Linked DNA regions of Drosophila melanogaster. The protein of the gene in region 3 purifies or fractionates together with the protein of the main gene of each other region. This does not show direct contact. Each region holds a gene or a part of one and is shown on either strand. Other genes may lie near its edges.

Region 1 (4,935 bases), on a different chromosome or scaffold from region 3:
TGGAATATTCAGCATGTGGATCACCTTCAGAAGAGCCTTAGGGGTTTCGCTGCTGAGGACGCCGCTTTGCATCATTTCAGTCAAGCGCAACTTGAAGCGCGTAAACAGCTCCTCATCAATGAGAAAGTGTAGCTGAAAGAGGCACGTGGACAGAAGGCGAACCTGCTCTGCGCTGCGACACCAATTGATGTGATGTTCCAGGTGCGGAATAAAGTTCCTACACACAAGCGGAGTGAAGAAGTCGCGTTCCAAGTTGATGCCCACCGAGAGGCGAGACAAGGAGGTCAAGGGAATGACTTCGTCATCAACTTGTGACTCGATTAATTGAAGAGATCTCGTCAGCACGGCCTCCACGACTGCCTCGGAGTTTGGTATATGCATTTTGCGCAGGTACAGGTAGCATCTACTGAGATCATCGATCTCCAGTTGGTGTACATAAGGGGCCAACTTTGGGAGCACGTTAAGCAGCACGCGATCCGTGATGGCATCTTTACTTGCCTGCTCCGCGTCGTGATAGATGTTCCACAGCAGTGAGATTCCCATCACCACATGGGAGCTCTGCAGGCCGTCACAGCTCTCCAACACATCTAAAATCTGGTTACCCGTCTTGGCCTCCTCCAGTCGGGTTAGAAGAGCATCCTGTTCCCGTGGCACGCCAAACTTGTCTTGGAGATCTCCGTTCACCAGCTGCGAGTGCTTCCTCAGTTTTTGGCCCAATGCCGGCAGCAAGGCAGCTGTTTGGATGGGCGGCTTTGCGCCAATGTTAACGTGCCGTCGCAGGAGCTGAAGCTGACGCACTCGCAGAAGGTATTGTAGGTACTTCCATTGTGTCCGCGGCAGGTGGTTCAGATACATGCCACTTTATCTCACGCTTATTCAGAAATCGTTGAATAATAACAAAATTACGCCGTATAAACATGTGAGTGAATTTTTGGCGATCAGCTGGTGTCGGTGTTGCCATGAAATCCTAATTTCCATTATACTGAAACCAATAATGGAATCAATGTGTAAAAAAAAACTTAAAATAATTTCTGAACTGTGATTAGCGGTATACAAGTTAGATAAGTAATTACTTAATTCGTAAGTAATTTGTTTATTTCGTCAAAAGTTTCATAGTGGCAACTCTAGTTTTCAACAGGTTGTTGACGAGTTGACATTTCTGTTTGTAAGCAACAGCTGATAAGCAGCTGACCCTAAATAATTTAATAGGCTAGAGCGTTATCGTTGTTAAACAACTAAACAATGGCATACACTGATCCTGCGCAACGAAACCAGGTGACCGTGCTCCAGGTCGGCTATTCTCGCCAAGAAGAAGGAGACGAGTCCGCCATGCGGGCTAACTGCACATGCACACTGGTCCGCTGCCGGGATGGCACCAACATAATCGTGGACACACTGACGGCCTGGGATGGAGATCACCTGCGTTCGTTGTTGGGCCAGCAGGGACTAGGCGTCGATGACATCCACGTGGTGGTCTGCTCTCACGGACACTCTGACCACATCGGTTGCAACTATCTGTTTCAGAAGGCACGAATGCATTTGGTCGGCGCATGTGCCTCACATCACGACCTCTACATGGACCACCTTGGTAGTGGTAATCCAGACGAGCAACTGGCCCTAGATTCGAATGCCGAGGTGGTAGTGAGGCGGTCGCCAGGACACACCCTCAGCTGCGTTTCAGTTCTTGTGGAAAATTCCCAGCTGGGTGGACGGGTCGGTATCACCGGAGATCTCTTCGAGCGTCGCGAGGACATCGACGATGAGAACATTTGGATGGACGCTGGAAGCGAAAACGAGAAGGTGCAGCGCGAGGAGCGCAGTAAAATGGCACAACTGTGCGAGTTTATAATCCCAGGACATGGTCCGATGTTTTCTGTCACACAATCAATGCGCTGTAAACTTAAAGAAGACGCCACTTCTAACACTTAATTTATTAAGCATTAAATACATATGTTAGAGATTTTTTTAAAAGCGGAATTGTTCTAGCTTTCCTTGATTACCAGTTAAATGTCTGAAATAAGTTGATTAATTCCAATACATAAAAATCAAATTTTCCGCCACTACATAATGTCCCTTTGGTACTTTTGTCGGAGGAATGGGAAATTATTCCAGATGATTTTATATTGCGTGAGTTGGCAGCACTGCTGCATGAGTTTTGGTGAATTGCATTTAGCTAACAATTGGAAAAGAAAACACAGCTGCAACCAGCAACACAATAGCCAAACACCACTCGTGTCCATCCGAAAATGGATCCCTCCGCGAGCCTGGCCGACAAGTTGGCCTCCAAGACTGCCAGCAGCAACTCTCTGGACAGCAGCTCCAAGTCCAGTTCGCTGGGCTCCAAGCACGGTGGCGGAGAAAACGGCATTCTGCGGGACACGCCCTTCGGCTATCTGGAGGGCGAAGAGGACCAGGACCAGAAGAACGACGTGACCTACGTGTGTCCGTACCGCGGCCCCGTCTTCGGCGCTCTTACCATAACCAACTACCGTCTGTACTTCCGGTCGCTTCCCCTGCGGGATCAGGAGCCGCCCGTCGTCGTCGACGTGCCTCTGGGCGTGATCGCGCGTGTGGAGAAGATTGGAGGTGCCACGTCTCGCGGTGAGAACTCGTACGGCATCGAGATTTTCTGCAAGGACATGCGAAACCTGCGATTCGCCCACAAGCAGCAGAATCATTCGCGGAGGACGGTGTTTGAGAAACTGCAGGCCAACGCCTTTCCGCTCTCGTACAGTGGGCGCCTCTTTGCATTCGCCCACGCCGCGGCCAACTCTGTGAACGGTAACGGAGGCTGGGACGGCTGGGCGGTATATGAACCGCTGGCGGAGCTGCGCCGCTTGGGCGTTCCCAACGATATGTGGCGGGCGACCAAGCTAAACGAGTCCTACGCAATTTGCGACAGCTATCCGGCCGTGTGGGCTGTGCCCAAAGCGGCCTCCGATGATTTCCTGAGGCGCGTGGCACAGTTCCGATCGCGCTGCCGCCTGCCGGTTTTGTCCTGGATGAACCCACGGACTCAAGCGACCATTACAAGGTGTTCCCAGCCGCTGGTGGGTGTAAGTGGCAAGCGAAATTCCGACGATGAAGCATACCTAAGCTTTATCATGGAGGCGAACGCCCAGTCAGACAAGTTGACCATCATGGATGCGCGACCAAGCGCCAATGCGATTGCTAACAAGGCCAAGGGCGGCGGCTACGAGTCAGAGGACGCGTACAAGAACGTGGAAATCAACTTCCTCGACATACACAACATCCACGTGATGCGGGAGAGCCTACGCAAAGTGAAGGAGGCTTGCTTCCCCACCACCGACGACTCAAAGTGGCAGACGGCTATTGACAACACACTGTGGCTAAAGCACATTAGGTGCATCCTGGCCGGCGCCGTTAGGATTGTTGACAAGGTGGAGACCATGAGCACCTCCGTCGTAGTTCACTGCTCCGACGGCTGGGATCGCACAGCCCAGCTGACTGCTCTTTCCATGTTGCTGCTCGATCCGCACTATCGCACAGTGCGCGGTTTCGAGGTTCTCATTGAGAAGGAGTGGCTCTCCTTTGGCCACAAGTTCCAACAACGCATTGGTCACGGCGACAACAAGCACTCGGATGCAGACAGATCTCCGGTGTTCCTGCAATTTATCGATAGCGTCTGGCAGGTTAGCCAGCAGTTCAACAACGCATTTGAGTTCAACGAGCACTTCCTGATAACCATCGTGGATCATCTGTACTCGTGCCGCTTCGGCACCTTCCTCTGCAACACGGAGGCCGAGCGTGTGGCCGAAGGTTAGACTGATTGCTGTTTGCATGGGCTTGGAAGTAATTTTCACATTTATTGTAGATCTCAAGCACAAGACAACATCCCTGTGGACGCACATCAACTCGTCGCTGGACCAGTATTTGAATCCACTCTTTCCCTCGTTCACGCACGGCGCCGAGCTAGTGCTGCGTCCGATTGCCAGCGTGAGATCGGTCCGCTTGTGGAAGGGCCTATACTGTCGCTGGAATCCTGGTCTGTGCGCTCCTCAGCATGGCTGCCAGCGAACCCGCGAACTGCTATCCAAGCAGGACCAGCTCTTTAAGCTCGTCAACGAGCTGCGGCTCAAGTCGAACAACCGCAGCAACAGCATGCAGACAACTACGCGACTGGCCTCGCCTATGCACTAATAGTATTGCTTTTTTATTCCCCCTACTTGTACGCATATGTAGTGCACGTATTGTGAACTACGTTCTAATTCCAAATAAAAGTTTTTCTTAAATGGAAAACTAGTCGATTCAACATTGTATCATTGAACCACATTATCGAATCTAATTAAAGTGTTAAATGTCTGAGAATGTTTTAATTATTTCATGAATAACATCATATAGTTCAAATCGTATAGCGTTTTCGCAGCTCAGTGGAGCTACTTTTATATGTGCCTTAAACTAGTTTGGATGTCAAAAAGATACCTAAACAGGTGACCAACTGTTGCACGCTCCTTGTGATTCATTCATAAACACCGCTTCATAGAGGCGCCTGCGCGTTGGACTACGCACGTTAAATCCCGAATCCCACTTTTGACACCACAGGACACAAAACATTTCGGCTTTGCGCCAAAATTAAATCACAGCTGCCTCAGTACGACATCGCACGTTCATTGGGACAGACGTGTTCCGATTTCCGGTAGGAAAAGGGCAGGTGTTTGTAAAATATCAGGAAATGCGTTCGGAACTCTTAGAGTTCCGCAATAGATATTAGTTATGCCTACTAGGATATGTGTGCTGTTTGGGCTTCTGTGCCTCGCAAGCTTATGCTGCGGTAGTAACAAGCCAGGAGAGGTGCTCCTGGTTATCGCCTGTCCCCCGCATCCTCAGCAGGCCAGAAGTGATTGTTTAGCCTTATCGCACAACGTGCTGGAGCAGCAACGGGCACTGGAACTGGCGGGGATCTTCCCCGAGGAC
Region 2 (5,225 bases), on a different chromosome or scaffold from region 3:
TCCTATTCAATTTAATATTCCTCTCTCCTAGAGATTGAGTTGAAAAATCCACTAATGTTATTATGCCAATAATTTTTATTTGCAGCTCAAATGAATGCTCTGGCCAAAAATCGCAACACACGAGTTTTCGACTGTATTTCAAGTTTAGTTTACGGTGCGAAAAATGTGGGGGGATTTCAACGAGGACCGGGAGCTACACGTTAATTACAACATTGAGGCTGCTTACCAGTATTGTCGTTTAGCAGGGGATCGAATGCCTCCAGCACACTCACACGGGAGCTGCAAAGCAGGATGTTTGAATGTTAAAAACACGAACTAATCATTTCTGAACACTAGTGGATACATACTAGTCCTCGTGGTTGAGGTCGATCAAATCGTTGCCCCTGCGTGGGACCGAGGAATGACCATTGTTTCCAGTGTGGCTACTAGAGCTAACCCCGACAGTCGAGGGCACTTGGCGACGCGCTGGGAAGGCTACTCCATTGGCCTCTGCGGGGGAGGAAGTGGAATGGTTGGACGGTTGGCTGTGATGATGACTTGTTGTCGGTGCTGTTTGTTGGGGAGCTGGTTGCGATTGGGGTCGACGCAAATCCATGTGCGTGTAAGCACCTCCAAAGCCATATCCCTGTGCGGGATACTGCGGCGGCATAAAAGCAGCCGATCCGGGAACAATGGGAGCCGTGTATGGAGTAACCACAGCTCCGGGATAGTACATATAGGCGTTTGGCTGCGGCACTGGAACCACGGCCATTTGAGCGGGCATGCTGTACAGCCGCTGCAGCTCCTCGCTGTTTAGTGGCCTCTGTTGCTGAGCAGCTGGTTGGTAAGGCACCAACTGCAGGTCACCGTAAGCCGGTCCACCAACAACTCCACCTGCAACCATGCCGTACGGTGTGGGCTGAGCAGCCGTTGGACGTTGCTGATGAGGTGGAAAGCCGTATTGAGGAGGAATCGAAGCCGACGCAACTGGACCCATTGGCACCAGGGCCGACTGCGGATTGGTCGGCTGCATCCGCTGCAGATCCTCTATAAGTTTGCCAAAGGGACTGCTACTCTCTGGCTGCTTGCTGGTGGGACTTGCGAAGCAGATCAGATCGTTATCCGTTCCCTGGGCCGGCGGTGTGCGCGATCGTTCCGCATTCTCCGGACTGATGGCCACCTGATGCACCTCCGAGTGCCGTCGTGGTTGATGTAGGCTCTGACTACGTTGCGCCGCCTGGTAATCTCGGCCAGCAACGGTGGAGCTTTGCTGATACCCGGAGCCGTACTTCTTGTTTCGCCTGTAGTCATCGAGGGCATGCTGCTCTAGACTCAGGGCGGTCGCCTTGGCCAGGTCATCCTGGAATTGTTTGTCGTAGTCGATATGCGCTTGATTTGACATTATCCCCTCGTCTAAAGCGTCCGGTCCGTTGAGCTGCGAATGGGAACCAGAACAAAATGTGAGCGATTTCCAAATTTTGTTAAAATTATTTTCGTATTTTCTCTTCCAATGCCTATTTGTTGTTGAACAAAGGTGTTTGCTTTTGGGATTGCTTATCTCTGCGATAACGAACAGGCGGTGATAAAAGTGATTATGCAGTGTAAATGGCAATGGTACTATATGAGTACCTGGACGAAGAACAGGTGAGATAGCATTCGATGGGGGGAAGACCACTTGCGACAGAGTGGGGGTGCCTATCACTAGTTTTTTTTTTTTAAGTTGCAAAGGAATATTCGCGATCGATAATGAGCCGTCATTAGCGGGCACCAATGATTCAGAAATTCAGAAAATAGGGGAGAACAGATTGATCGCTTTATTAGATTTGTAAGCTTCGAAATGGTTAAAAGGATATGACAACTGCATTTAAAACGTAATTACAAGGATTTGTGATAGCCAGGGCAGGGACAGGAATTAATTTTATATTTTAAAAAATATCAACTTCTAATAGAAAAGTTCGAACATCATTATGCAAGCATGATATTAAGTATGATTAGCAGAGTTTCGACATTCGGTACAAACATCAGCAAAACATTTTATCTTATTGTTTGTACATACAAATGTGGTAAATACTTGTGTACTTTGCACATAGAAACCATATCCAAGCGCTCCAAATTTGCGATTGCGATACAGCAGAGTGGCGCAAAAAGGCGCAATTGAGTGCGCGATTGTAAATAAATATATAAAAACAAACAAAAGCGGCGGCATCAATTTGCGTGAATGAATGCTGCGAGTACTGATTTCCCAGATTTTACACATATATACGAATATATGCAATATAAACGTATATATATATGTCAGCATGTAAGCGTTTTGATTTTTTCCCCATTGAAGCCAATCTCGTATGCAGATAGGAAACAGCTGTTTAATATAAACACACCCACAAAAGCACTAGTGTGTGTGTGAGTCCGTGTCGCGAACGGGGACGGAATGGAAGATAAGAAAATGCGAACCGGCTAGGAATAGGAAGCGAGGAAGAGAGAGCAAAAGAGAGGGTTCCGTGCGGCAAAGGTTAAGGTAAATCAATAGATTGCGAAAAAATTTTTAAAAACAATATTCATAAACAATAAATGAACCCAATTGAATGCCAATTTATTCCGGAGAACGTAAGAATAAAATTTAAAAAAAACGAATATCGGTGGAAGGGCGAAAGAAAATAATAATGGAGATAGTCATTAATATGCAGACTTGACTTCTGCTTTGTGATTCTCATCCGCATATTGCCAACTTACTTGCTTTTTGAGGTGTCACCTCCGCTGCTTTTTACACCCGTTGCTAGTCTCTTTTTGGTTGAGGTTTTCCCTTGACGGGGCTACGAACATAGACCATCCGGTTAATAGTTTTACACTTTTATCCTCGGTTGTTGTTATATTTGACGAATCACAATTAATTTAAACTTAACCAAAGGTTTTTTTTTTGTTTTTAGGAGAGTTGTTTTATCCTCCTACACACCTAAACACCTACACACATACATGCGAAACGACCATACACAAACACGAACAGAAAACAGTGACAAAAAACGGAATAGACGCAACACCAAAATACTGAACAAAACGTTATTTTCTTAGATTTTCTTGCACCATCACATATTATGTACAAATCAGTTAATTTACAATAAAAAAAAAACAATTATCTTGTGCGCAAGAACTTTAAACACGAACAGCACGAAATAACACAAAACGGAATGCAACAAGCAGTAGCGATGGTAAACGAATCGATATTGTTTGGCAACTATCGATGAAAGATACATCGAACAGATGTTTGAGTATTGGCTAATCATGTAGCCGGGTTTCACTCCATCAATTCAAATTTATTGAGTTTCTAACGAATAACAAAATACTTAACTTTCGAGCGATATGTAATCTTGTATCTTCATAGTTTGTTTATAAAACTTATACTAATTGCCAAGTAATACATTTATTTATCTCAGTTGTTATTATTTGTGCTTCCACAAATTTTTCCACAATATCTACATAAATGCTTCGTCCACATTCAGGCCGTGATCCATGGCCACCTTGGAGTCGTCGTCCAGCCCACCAGCTAACGTCAATAGATAGTCGGGATCATCGATTGAACTACTGGGGGGCGCATTGTACATCCTGCGGTAGGAGGCTTCGATGTTTTCGTCCAGCATTCGATCCACAATGTCACTCTGGACCTGTCCCGGTTCCTGGGACATTTTAAGCAGCAGCTCCGCATGACTGGGTGTCACTTGAGGCAGTTGAAGATCGGTGGCTGCTGTGGGATTTACATTTGCCCTTCGCTGGGCGATTTCCGCCGATTCCGCACCCATTTTGCAGATTGCACACCTGCTGCGAGAAATCTGCTTCTTCAGATTGACCAAAGCCATACGATCCTGCGCCACCAGCATTCGTTCGTGGGCCAGCTGTGCCTCCTTTTCCGCGATTTCCTGGGCCCGCTTGGCCATGACCTTAAGCTTGGCCTGGAGCAGCTGGTCCGCCTCCCTAGCCTTCTGCTCGGCCAAGTGTTGGCGACTAGTGGCTAGGCGGTAGGCGCCGGTGGCTTGGCCCAGTTCGTCCTCCTTGAGATTTAGGGCGTGCTCCTTATCCAGAAGATGGCGCTTGCGCTGCTCCATTTCGCGCTGCAGCTTGTGGTAGCGATCCCGCTCCTCATCCGCCCGCCGAATGGCTTCGCGTGCCACCTGCAGTTGGGCCTCCAGTTCCCGGCGATCTCTGTCTGGGTCGCCGTGCTCATTGAGCTGTTGTCTTAGTTCAATCTGCTGGCGTTCCACTGTCAGTTGATTGCGCTCCTCCTGGAGATCGTGGTGCAGTCGTTCCATTTCCGCAAGCTGCAGTGCTTTAAGATCCTCCACACGCTTCTCGTCCCGCTGCATTTGCTCGCGATGGAATTCTTTTTCGCGCTCGAAAGCCTTGCGCTCCGCTTCCAAGCTGGACATTCGTTGACGGAGCTGCCAGTTCTCTTCGGCTGACTCCTTGGACAAACGGCCCAGCTGCAGCTCCAAGGTGCTCACCAGTTCCATCAGGCGGCGCTTCTCATCGTCGGCCGTCTCCTCGTCCATCTTTAGACGCCTTTCCTGGTCGGCCAGGCGACGTTCTCGCGCCTCCAACTGCCGTTCCCTTTCCTGGTTGTCACTCATCCCGTCACGAAGTTCTTGAAGATTGCTGGACGCCAGACGCAATGTGTCCAGATAATTTCCATGATCCTGCACCGCCGACAACTCCACCATTTTAGCCTGACGAATACCCTCGAGGTCCAGCTCGTGGGATTGACGCAGCTTGCGCACCTCATCCTCATGATCTTGTCGCAGGCTGGAAATCTGCTCCACATAGTCCTCCTTCTGCTTCTCCAGTTTTTCGATGTAGTACTGCCGTAACTCGCTATTCTCGTCCTTGAGTCGTTTCTCTACGACGGACAAGTGCTCCTCCAGCACCTTGATTTGTTTTCTGGACATAAAATTAAATTCTCTTACTCATTTGCATTATTATTTCAGCAGCTGGTTAAAACTTACTTATATGAAGAATCTATCATTTCGATCTCCTGCTCATAGTTGACCTTCATGTTGGCCACCAGCTCATCGAGTCGCTGTTTCTCCAGCAGATTGCGTTTGGCATCCATTTCTAGCAGAAGCAAATGCTCCTGTTCCTGACTGGTCGCCTTGTGGTGCTCCTTCCTTTCCGGTTCCGGTTCCGGTTTCTCCACGAGCGGCGGTGTGGACACCACATCCTGTACACGCACTGGCTGCGACATCATCAGCTGGAGGTGCATG
Region 3 (3,877 bases):
TTTTTCCTTTTACATTCTTTAGAACGAATGTAGTGCACATCTTCATGAGAAGGTATTCGAGGAAAGGACATGCAGATATTACAAGACGATTAATTACGTTATAATGTGCTAGATTTAAAAAAAAAATGAGGCTGTCGGATTAGCAGGCGATTCTGATCAGAAAAATGTACTGGTTCTTACATTAATATTAGAACAACAGTTTGTGCACAAGCAACCGTAACTAAAACACAATTAACTGAAGATTTTTGTCTACTTTTTTGGTAAGACTTGTTTGTATATTCATATAAGGTATCAACAAAATTTTTAAAGGGTTCATCATCACTTAATAACTTTAACAATTAAATCTAGGAATTTCCATTGTTACTTATTTTCTCTTTCTCGCTCTTTCGCATGCAAGTGCCAGCTATGTACACAGAAATCTCAAACACAAGTTAGTTAGCTTAACTACCAAAATTAGACTGACTGAAAATTACTGAAAAGGGCTAGAAGGTAAAGAAAAACCTGACCTGACCTGAAGCAAGGTCTAAAAACAGTAGCAGCAGATAATATCAGGAATCAAGCATTATCAATTAGGCATGCCCACGCCCTGCTGGAACCCTAACGTATCATGCTGCTTCTTCACCTCGTCCTGCATTTCTAGGGCCAGCTTCTTGTACTTCTCCGCTTCCTTTTCGTTCTTCTCGATCCCATCGCCCCGGGCGTACATCTGGCTAAGATTGGCACACGCATACATATTGCGAAGCTCGCAAGCCTTGTGGGCAAACTGGAAAGCCTTCTTCATGTCTTTTAGAACAATATAGTCGGAGTCCTTTAAAGGCGGTTGTCCGGCGGGGGGTGATGATGTACCACTTCCGGAGGATGCAGTGACAGCACTCTGATCCGCCTTCTTTTGCACGCCCGAGATGTGCATCCCGGAGAGATAAAAGCAGGCAGTGGCGTTGTTCAAGTCGCAGCTTTTGGTCAGAAACTCCAGGCCCTGCGGGTGTTGTAAAATTATAATGTCAAATCACAAAATCAAATAAAATTTAAACACTTTTCTGCTGGGGTCATATTGAACAGTTTTAAATTGGATCAAACTAAACTATATTCATACATATGTCTATACATCCATTGGAACATAATCAGAAAATTACAATTAAACGTTCAATTATCTGGACACGATACGAATGACTTATGATTTCAAGGATCAAATGAGAAACAGGTGGGGCAAATGAGAGAATGTACTGCAGCACATAGTTGCACTTTAAGCAAATTGAACAGTTCCAAGAGCTAGCCTTTTATTGAAGGCTTGGGACCGTGATCGCCATACGACACCTTTACCTTGGGCACATTCCAGTCGATCTCCCTAGGCATGGACTTTGAAACGAGCAGCAGGCCGGAGTGAAGACAGGCGTCCGAGTCGTTTAAGTTACAGCCCTTCTCGTAGTACTCGTAGGCCACTTGTGGATTCCCCTTGCTACCGCTCTTGCCTTTTCCAAGGAAACTGTAGTTGCCGTATTTGTAGCAGGACTTTGCGTAACCATAGTCGTCGCAAGTCGACTTGTACACCTTGGAGGCCTTTTCAAAGTCTTTCTTGATGCCCTCCAAGTAGTCGCCCAGCAAGTGGCACGCTGCAATGCAGAACGCCAGTTAGCTATCTCATAAATGCAATGTCTTCAAGCCCCGCGAATTGTCCTCCCGCACATCGGAGGTTATAGACCTCAATTGTTTTTGCCGCCGTCGCTATCGCTGCCGCCGCCGCACTCACCTTCCGGCTTCTTCTCGGAATAGCACCCGAATCGATATTCCACGCCCAGCTTTTCTACGTACTCCTTCACGTCTGACTCCTTCTTCAAGTCATAGGCCATGGTCAGCAATTTTTAATAGATAACAACCAAAAATTATTATGTTATGCTTCGTCCGGACCCCTGCGTGCTTCAGTGTTAGTAACGTGCAAAATATCGATTCATCGACACCATACTGCATACATTCGATGGTTTTATTGATATCGATGTTAGGCTATGCATCGATATTTTGCTCATAATTAAAACATGGTTTAATTTAAAATCGCTTAATTGTATTTTCTATCTTTCATGTATGACTGCGGCGACATTGAGTTCTCGGCCTTGCTTGAGGCCGCAGTGTGGCCAGATACGTATGTGACTTCTCGCTTATTCAACATTTATCGCCGAGTGCCATTACAATAGTGCTGGTAGACAGCCACACTGGCGGTCTCGTAAAAACCTAATCTTTTCGATTACCTCTTGTTTTTTTTTTGTTTTTCCGTGTCCTCTGAAAACTGATGCGTATCAAGGTAGGACACCTAGCTATTGGGAAACCACAATGAGCTCGAGCAGAACGAGGAACGGCCCCACGCTTAATTTCAAGGCGGTGCTGCTGGGCGAAGGTACGTTTAGCAGCTAAACAAACCTAATTAGTTCCTGAAAGCTTTAACCCCTTAATTGTAGGTTGTGTGGGCAAGACGTCGCTGGTGCTGCGCTACATGGAAGACCGGTTCAATGCCCAGCACCTAAGCACCCTGCAGGCTTCCTTTGTCAGCCGCAAGATGTCCCTGGAGGATGGGAGAAGGGCGCAGTTGAATATTTGGGACACGGCTGGTCAGGAGCGGTTCCACGCCCTGGGACCCATCTACTATCGCGGCTCCGATGGCGCCCTGCTCGTCTATGACATAACGGACCGAGACTCGTTCCAGAAGGTCAAATCCTGGGTGCGGGAGCTCCGGCAAATGCGCGGCACGGAGATTGCCTTAATAATCGTCGGCAACAAGACTGATTTGGAGGAACAGCGAGCAGTAACGCACGATGAGGCCCTTCAATATGCGCGCACGGTTGGCGCTCAATATGTAGAAACTTCGGCCAAGGAGAACGAGGGGGTGGCTGAGCTCTTCGAGCTCCTGACCCAGCTGATGCTGGAGCAGTTGAGCCAACGGCAACCGGATGCGAGTCCACTTCGCCTCCAGAATCCGGATACGGATAACCTTAACAACTCCGATGACTCGGAGGCCCCGGATCCCGGAGATCCTGCGGGCCAGCGGTCCTGTTGCGGCATTTAGCCGTTCCCATTGTGATAGTAATCATAACTATAAAATAGTAGACCTTTAACCGATGTTGATCTTGTGTATATATTATACATAGATAGATATAAATATAAATACGCGTATTTTTATTATTCCCTATTATGGATCTTTAAAATCCTCACACATTTTTGTTTATTAATAAATATAAATATGTATTTCATTCGATTTTCTTGCCCTTCCTGAGCGCCCAGTAATAAACAATCTTGTACTTGCACTTATCTTGTTTTGAGGCTTTTTGGGGGCCGGGCTGAATCATCGTTATCAGTTGAGGTGCTAATGGCTCTGCAAGGCGATAGGTGATTAATTTTAAACCGCACCAAGATTACAGTTTACGGCACTTTAAATATATGGTGCAATAGAAGACAATACATAAAGTTTTTATATATTTTTTCATAATTTTATGTAACGATCATATCATCGCAACAGCTTCTCCTATTAATGAAATTAATTGAAATCCAATTTCAAAACTGTTTTCGGCTACAATTAGTTACATATATAAGTATTCTAGTTTTATTTTGTTATAACAAAAAGTGAACGAACATATATGTATGTATTTACCCATTTAAGAATATATCCAATCTATAATATTCGGGCTATGTATGTACATATATGATAGTCTTCCATTTTATAACCGTTACTCGTGGTGTATATACTAGATATACTATATACTAGATTCGTTGAAAAGTATGTAACAGAACAGAACAACAGGCTGAAAGAAGCGTTTTCGACTATATGAGGTATATACATATATTCTTAATCAGAATCAATAGCTGAGGCGATCTAGACATGTCCGTCTGTCCT
Region 4 (3,863 bases), on a different chromosome or scaffold from region 3:
ACGGTCCTGGCAAGGATGTGAAAACTTCCGTTTGGGGCGTTTCCATAGACGTGATGCCCTGCGGAGATCGGATCAACACGTGGTTCTCCCAGGCCATCCTGAAGAAGGAGAGCGGCCTCAAGCTAGTTCACTATCCCTATCCGAAACCAGTGAGATGCACCAATCCCCGCCTAAAGTCCATGCCATTCATTAGACAGGAGGACTCGGTATGTTCCTGATGCGCAATTCGAAGTGTTAGGACCCAGATCACCCTTGATTTGAATTCTTTCCATAGGGCACTTTTAACGATGCCACCAGCTTTATGCTGATGAACCTTTCGTCGGTCGCCGATCTTAATACTCGGTTAAAGAATCCGGTGGATGCACTGCAGTTCCGAGGTAACTTCGAACTGAAAATGGATGTTGATGAGCCCTATGCCGAGGACAATTGGCAGTGGGTGCGTATAGGCGAAGATGCTGTTTTCCGTACGGTGGCGCCATGCACTCGCTGTATTTTTACCAACATTAATGCGAAGACCGCAGAGAGGAGTTCCGAAGGAGAGCCTCTCAAAACGCTCAGAAGGTGAGTCACTACCCATGGAAATATCTGAGAAGTACGACTTACAAAACCCGACCCTCATATCTGGAATCCACAGCTATCGCTTGTTCAACTACAGTTCGCCGGCTCTGGGCGTTCATATGGGACTTCGGCTGCCGGGAAAGGTGAAGGCCAACGACGTCGTGTATGTGGAGGACAAGTGAATATTCCATTATCTCTTCTAACACTTTATCCGGTATACATTGAAGTTTATTACATAGAACATAGATGAGAGTACTGTAGAGTTTTATATGCAAATATACATGTGTTATGAGCCTATAACAATATAAACAACTTTAAAGCTTGTCCTAAACACAGGACTGCCAAGCGAGGCCACCACAGGCCATGCTCACAATCACGTAAACGATGAAGGTTATCACCAGACCCACCACCACGTAGACGCGGATGTTCTTCCAAAACATTTGACGAGCCAAATTTCGGGAGGCCTTACGGAATGCAACGGACTGTAAGAGAGATCAAATGAAAAACACATTTAAAAGTCTCTGCTTGGCATCACCTTACATTATTGCTCAAGTTTTCGGTCTTGTTGACGAGCAGCTCTAGTTTCTCGCCGCGATCCCGCAAGCTGTCTGCAAATGGGATGAAAAGGGAATAGTAAACAAAAAGAACATACGGATTTTCCTTCCTTCATACCAATATTCTTAACCATAATGTCTTTAAGCTCGTCAATCTGACCATGTACTCGCGAAATGGTGTCCACCTCCCGGGACTGACTGAAATAGACCATCTGCTGGGCCAGGATCTTGGAGAACTCGGTGTTCATGGAGTAGGCGATGGCGGTGGCCACCTGTAGGCCGTAAGTCTGGATAAACTTCTGCTTGATATCCGCCAAGAAGAGGAAGGCCCGCGACCGTTCGAACTCCTACAAAGAAACGATACGTTATCGATTGGGCAATAAGCAACTGAGGTGGCTAATTGGGCCAGTGGTTCGTTCACCCACGTTGTCGGTGATGCACATGTAGACCAGTTTGTTCTCGCAGGTGTAGTGGATCAGGTAGTCTCCGTGTGTGTAGGTCATCTTGTGGTTATGCACCCCGATCCGTCCGATTATGTGCTCCGTCACTTCGGCAAAGTTGCCGACGCACTCCGCAAACTTCGCCAGCACTGTGGTGCCCCGCGATATCACACTATATAGTATCGGCATGGTGCCACAGATTCTCCTTTGCTAAGGGCGCGGTTGTTCAGCTCCTCAGGCTACTGCTTTGTTTTGCTTATCGGGGAATGAGCCGACGATCCGTCAATGATGACGTGCTCTCGGATTCTGAGAAATGTACATATCGATTTAGAAACTACTACTATCCAATTGCGAGCCTATCAATCTGAACAATAACTCTGTTTATGAGTAACATACGTATATATGTGTAATATGCAAATTGTTATATCAAAGTACTTGCTTTGTTTATCCAATTAGATCCGCCTCGAGTTGATAGCGCAACTGCAGATTTACATTTTGTGGTAAGCGGCTTAAGTTATTATCGATTTTCAATTGCTTTTGCCGAACACAATAAAAACATCACAATACCGTGGAATTAGCTCGATTTTTGCATTACAAATAACAACAATTGCTGACGCTTCGATGCAGTTATAAAATTAGAGGTGGAAGGACGGTACATCGACGCATCGATATTTAATGGAGCCGATAAGTCTGGCTTTATCGCACGGTCACACTGCATAACGTGTTTTACAAATTATGTTATACGGTCTTATGATTATTTGCATTTGCTTATTAAATTAAATGATCTCCGCAACTTAAATAGGGGCATCCCACCGATAGCGTTTCAGTATTGACGAGAGCATCAGTTCATCCAGTTGAGATTCTTCTCCCCGGACAAAGAATTTTCCATTAAAGTAAATTTAAATTAATAGCGTTCCCAAGCTTTTGCTCCTGAGATCTTTGAGCCTGGATCCATTCGTTTTGACAGAAAAAACCGCAGGTAATAACTTAAACTATGTACACACGCAAGATACAATATACGTAGTTTCAATATGCGCATATGCTGCCGAAATATTCGATTTAAAATTACTTATTTTAAAAGACTTAGAATTCTCATTTATTCTGGCCACAAATATGGCACGATTGCACTTTTTTGAGCCTTTTACAGGATAAGGTTTCTATAGAATTTAATATTAGAACACAATAAGCATGCTTAAATAAGATCATTTATCAAATCTTATAATTCGTTTAGGGTGTAGCTATCAGTATTTAAGTTGCAGAGTAAGAGCGTAATGGTTAACCATTGTTGATGGTTAATTAACCACCAATTGGTTAACCATTGTTAATGTTTAATTATCTTTGTTATTTTTTATTATTTTGATCTTGATTAAGAATATATATACTTTACATGGCCGGGAACGCTTCCTTCTACCTGTTACTTACTTTTCAACGAATCTAGTATACCCTCTTACCAAAGACACTAGAATAACAATATGCGTTTTTGGGAGGAGTCTAGAGCTGGCTCCGGCTCTCACGAATATTTGTTCCAGAGGGCGGAGAGCTTTACAGTCAGCAGATTTCATGTCTGTATATGTATCTGATAGTCGGAACCGGACATTGTTACCTAAAGTTTTATTTCGAATACAAATTGATTAACGAATCTTTGAGGCTATATTGATAAAATCTTATCTGATACCTGATAAACAAACACAAAAGTAAATAATAATAAAAAGATATAACAATGTAGTTCCTTCATTGCTTCCGTCATACATAAATATGTGCATTTGTATGTGCACGCAATGTAATTAATATTTAGGAGCCCAAATTCAGTTATGTATACCTATGCAAGCCCAATAAACAAATTTATATATAATTTAACGGCATTTGAAATTCCAGCGAAGTTTTCGCGAGATCTCCAAATCGATCTGGCAACCCTTGAGACGTACATATGTATGCAGACGAAATGGCAATCGCTAGCAACGTTGTCGAAGCGGGGAACGCGGTTCGCGCGGAAAAAGGCAGAAAATATTTTTATTTTCGAAAGATGATAGGAGATTATATTGGTGAGTGATGACCGATGGACGCCATAAATTATCTTTACGGTCGTGATTCGTTGCAGACACCTCTATTCGCATTGTAGCCACCGTGTTCTTGGCTGATCTGCTCCTTCGCTTGTACCGCTGTGTCGTCGAATATGGGAGCAATGGGCGGTACTATTTGCCCGAGGATCGGCTGTGGATAATCCTGCGGCGCTCGTGCACGTATAACAACAGATCGATATACCTGATTGTGGGATTCCTTCTCGTAGCTTTTTTTCGAATTTCGGTTACCG

What was found.
Region 1: the proteins of Rab21 (region 3) and mtm purify together in Drosophila melanogaster (affinity purification with western blotting, with the first as the bait; one study listed by BioGRID). This does not show direct contact.
Region 2: the proteins of Rab21 (region 3) and Pi3K68D purify together in Drosophila melanogaster (affinity purification with western blotting; one study listed by BioGRID). This does not show direct contact.
Region 4: the proteins of Rab21 (region 3) and Vamp7 purify together in Drosophila melanogaster (affinity purification with western blotting, with the first as the bait; one study listed by BioGRID). This does not show direct contact.

Annotation. Positions count from the first base shown.
Region 1 is NT_033779.5:6,034,123-6,039,057, reverse strand, and holds mtm (myotubularin), read left to right. Parts: upstream 1-2,042; 5' UTR 2,043-2,246; coding exon 2,247-3,780; intron 3,781-3,835; coding exon 3,836-4,161; 3' UTR 4,162-4,327; downstream 4,328-4,935. Other genes in the region: CG31643 (uncharacterized protein), read right to left, coding at 1-855; CG9117 (uncharacterized protein), read left to right, coding at 1,243-1,929; CG9109 (uncharacterized protein), read left to right, coding at 4,735-4,935.
Region 2 is NT_037436.4:11,786,832-11,792,056, forward strand, and holds the start of Pi3K68D (phosphatidylinositol 3-kinase 68D), read right to left. Parts: upstream 3,183-5,225; 5' UTR 3,091-3,182; exon of another isoform or gene 2,790-3,090; 5' UTR 2,710-2,789; intron 1,415-2,709; 5' UTR 1,382-1,414; coding exon 348-1,381; intron 280-347; coding exon 227-279; intron 1-226. Other genes in the region: twy (twitchy), read right to left, coding at 3,447-4,902, 4,968-5,225.
Region 3 is NC_004354.4:23,011,552-23,015,428, reverse strand, and holds Rab21 (Rab21), read left to right. Parts: upstream 1-2,019; 5' UTR 2,020-2,134; intron 2,135-2,164; exon of another isoform or gene 2,165-2,293; 5' UTR 2,294-2,322; coding exon 2,323-2,386; exon of another isoform or gene 2,387-2,447; coding exon 2,448-3,052; 3' UTR 3,053-3,289; downstream 3,290-3,877. Other genes in the region: Coa7 (cytochrome c oxidase assembly factor 7), read right to left, coding at 566-976, 1,321-1,610, 1,748-1,847.
Region 4 is NT_033778.4:9,840,310-9,844,172, forward strand, and holds Vamp7 (Vesicle-associated membrane protein 7), read right to left. Parts: upstream 2,194-3,863; 5' UTR 1,992-2,193; intron 1,917-1,991; exon of another isoform or gene 1,859-1,916; 5' UTR 1,742-1,858; coding exon 1,538-1,741; intron 1,460-1,537; coding exon 1,231-1,459; intron 1,167-1,230; coding exon 1,099-1,166; intron 1,041-1,098; coding exon 885-1,040; 3' UTR 771-884; downstream 1-770. Other genes in the region: Marc (mitochondrial amidoxime reducing component), read left to right, coding at 1-206, 275-561, 635-740; sting, read left to right, coding at 3,495-3,594, 3,651-3,863.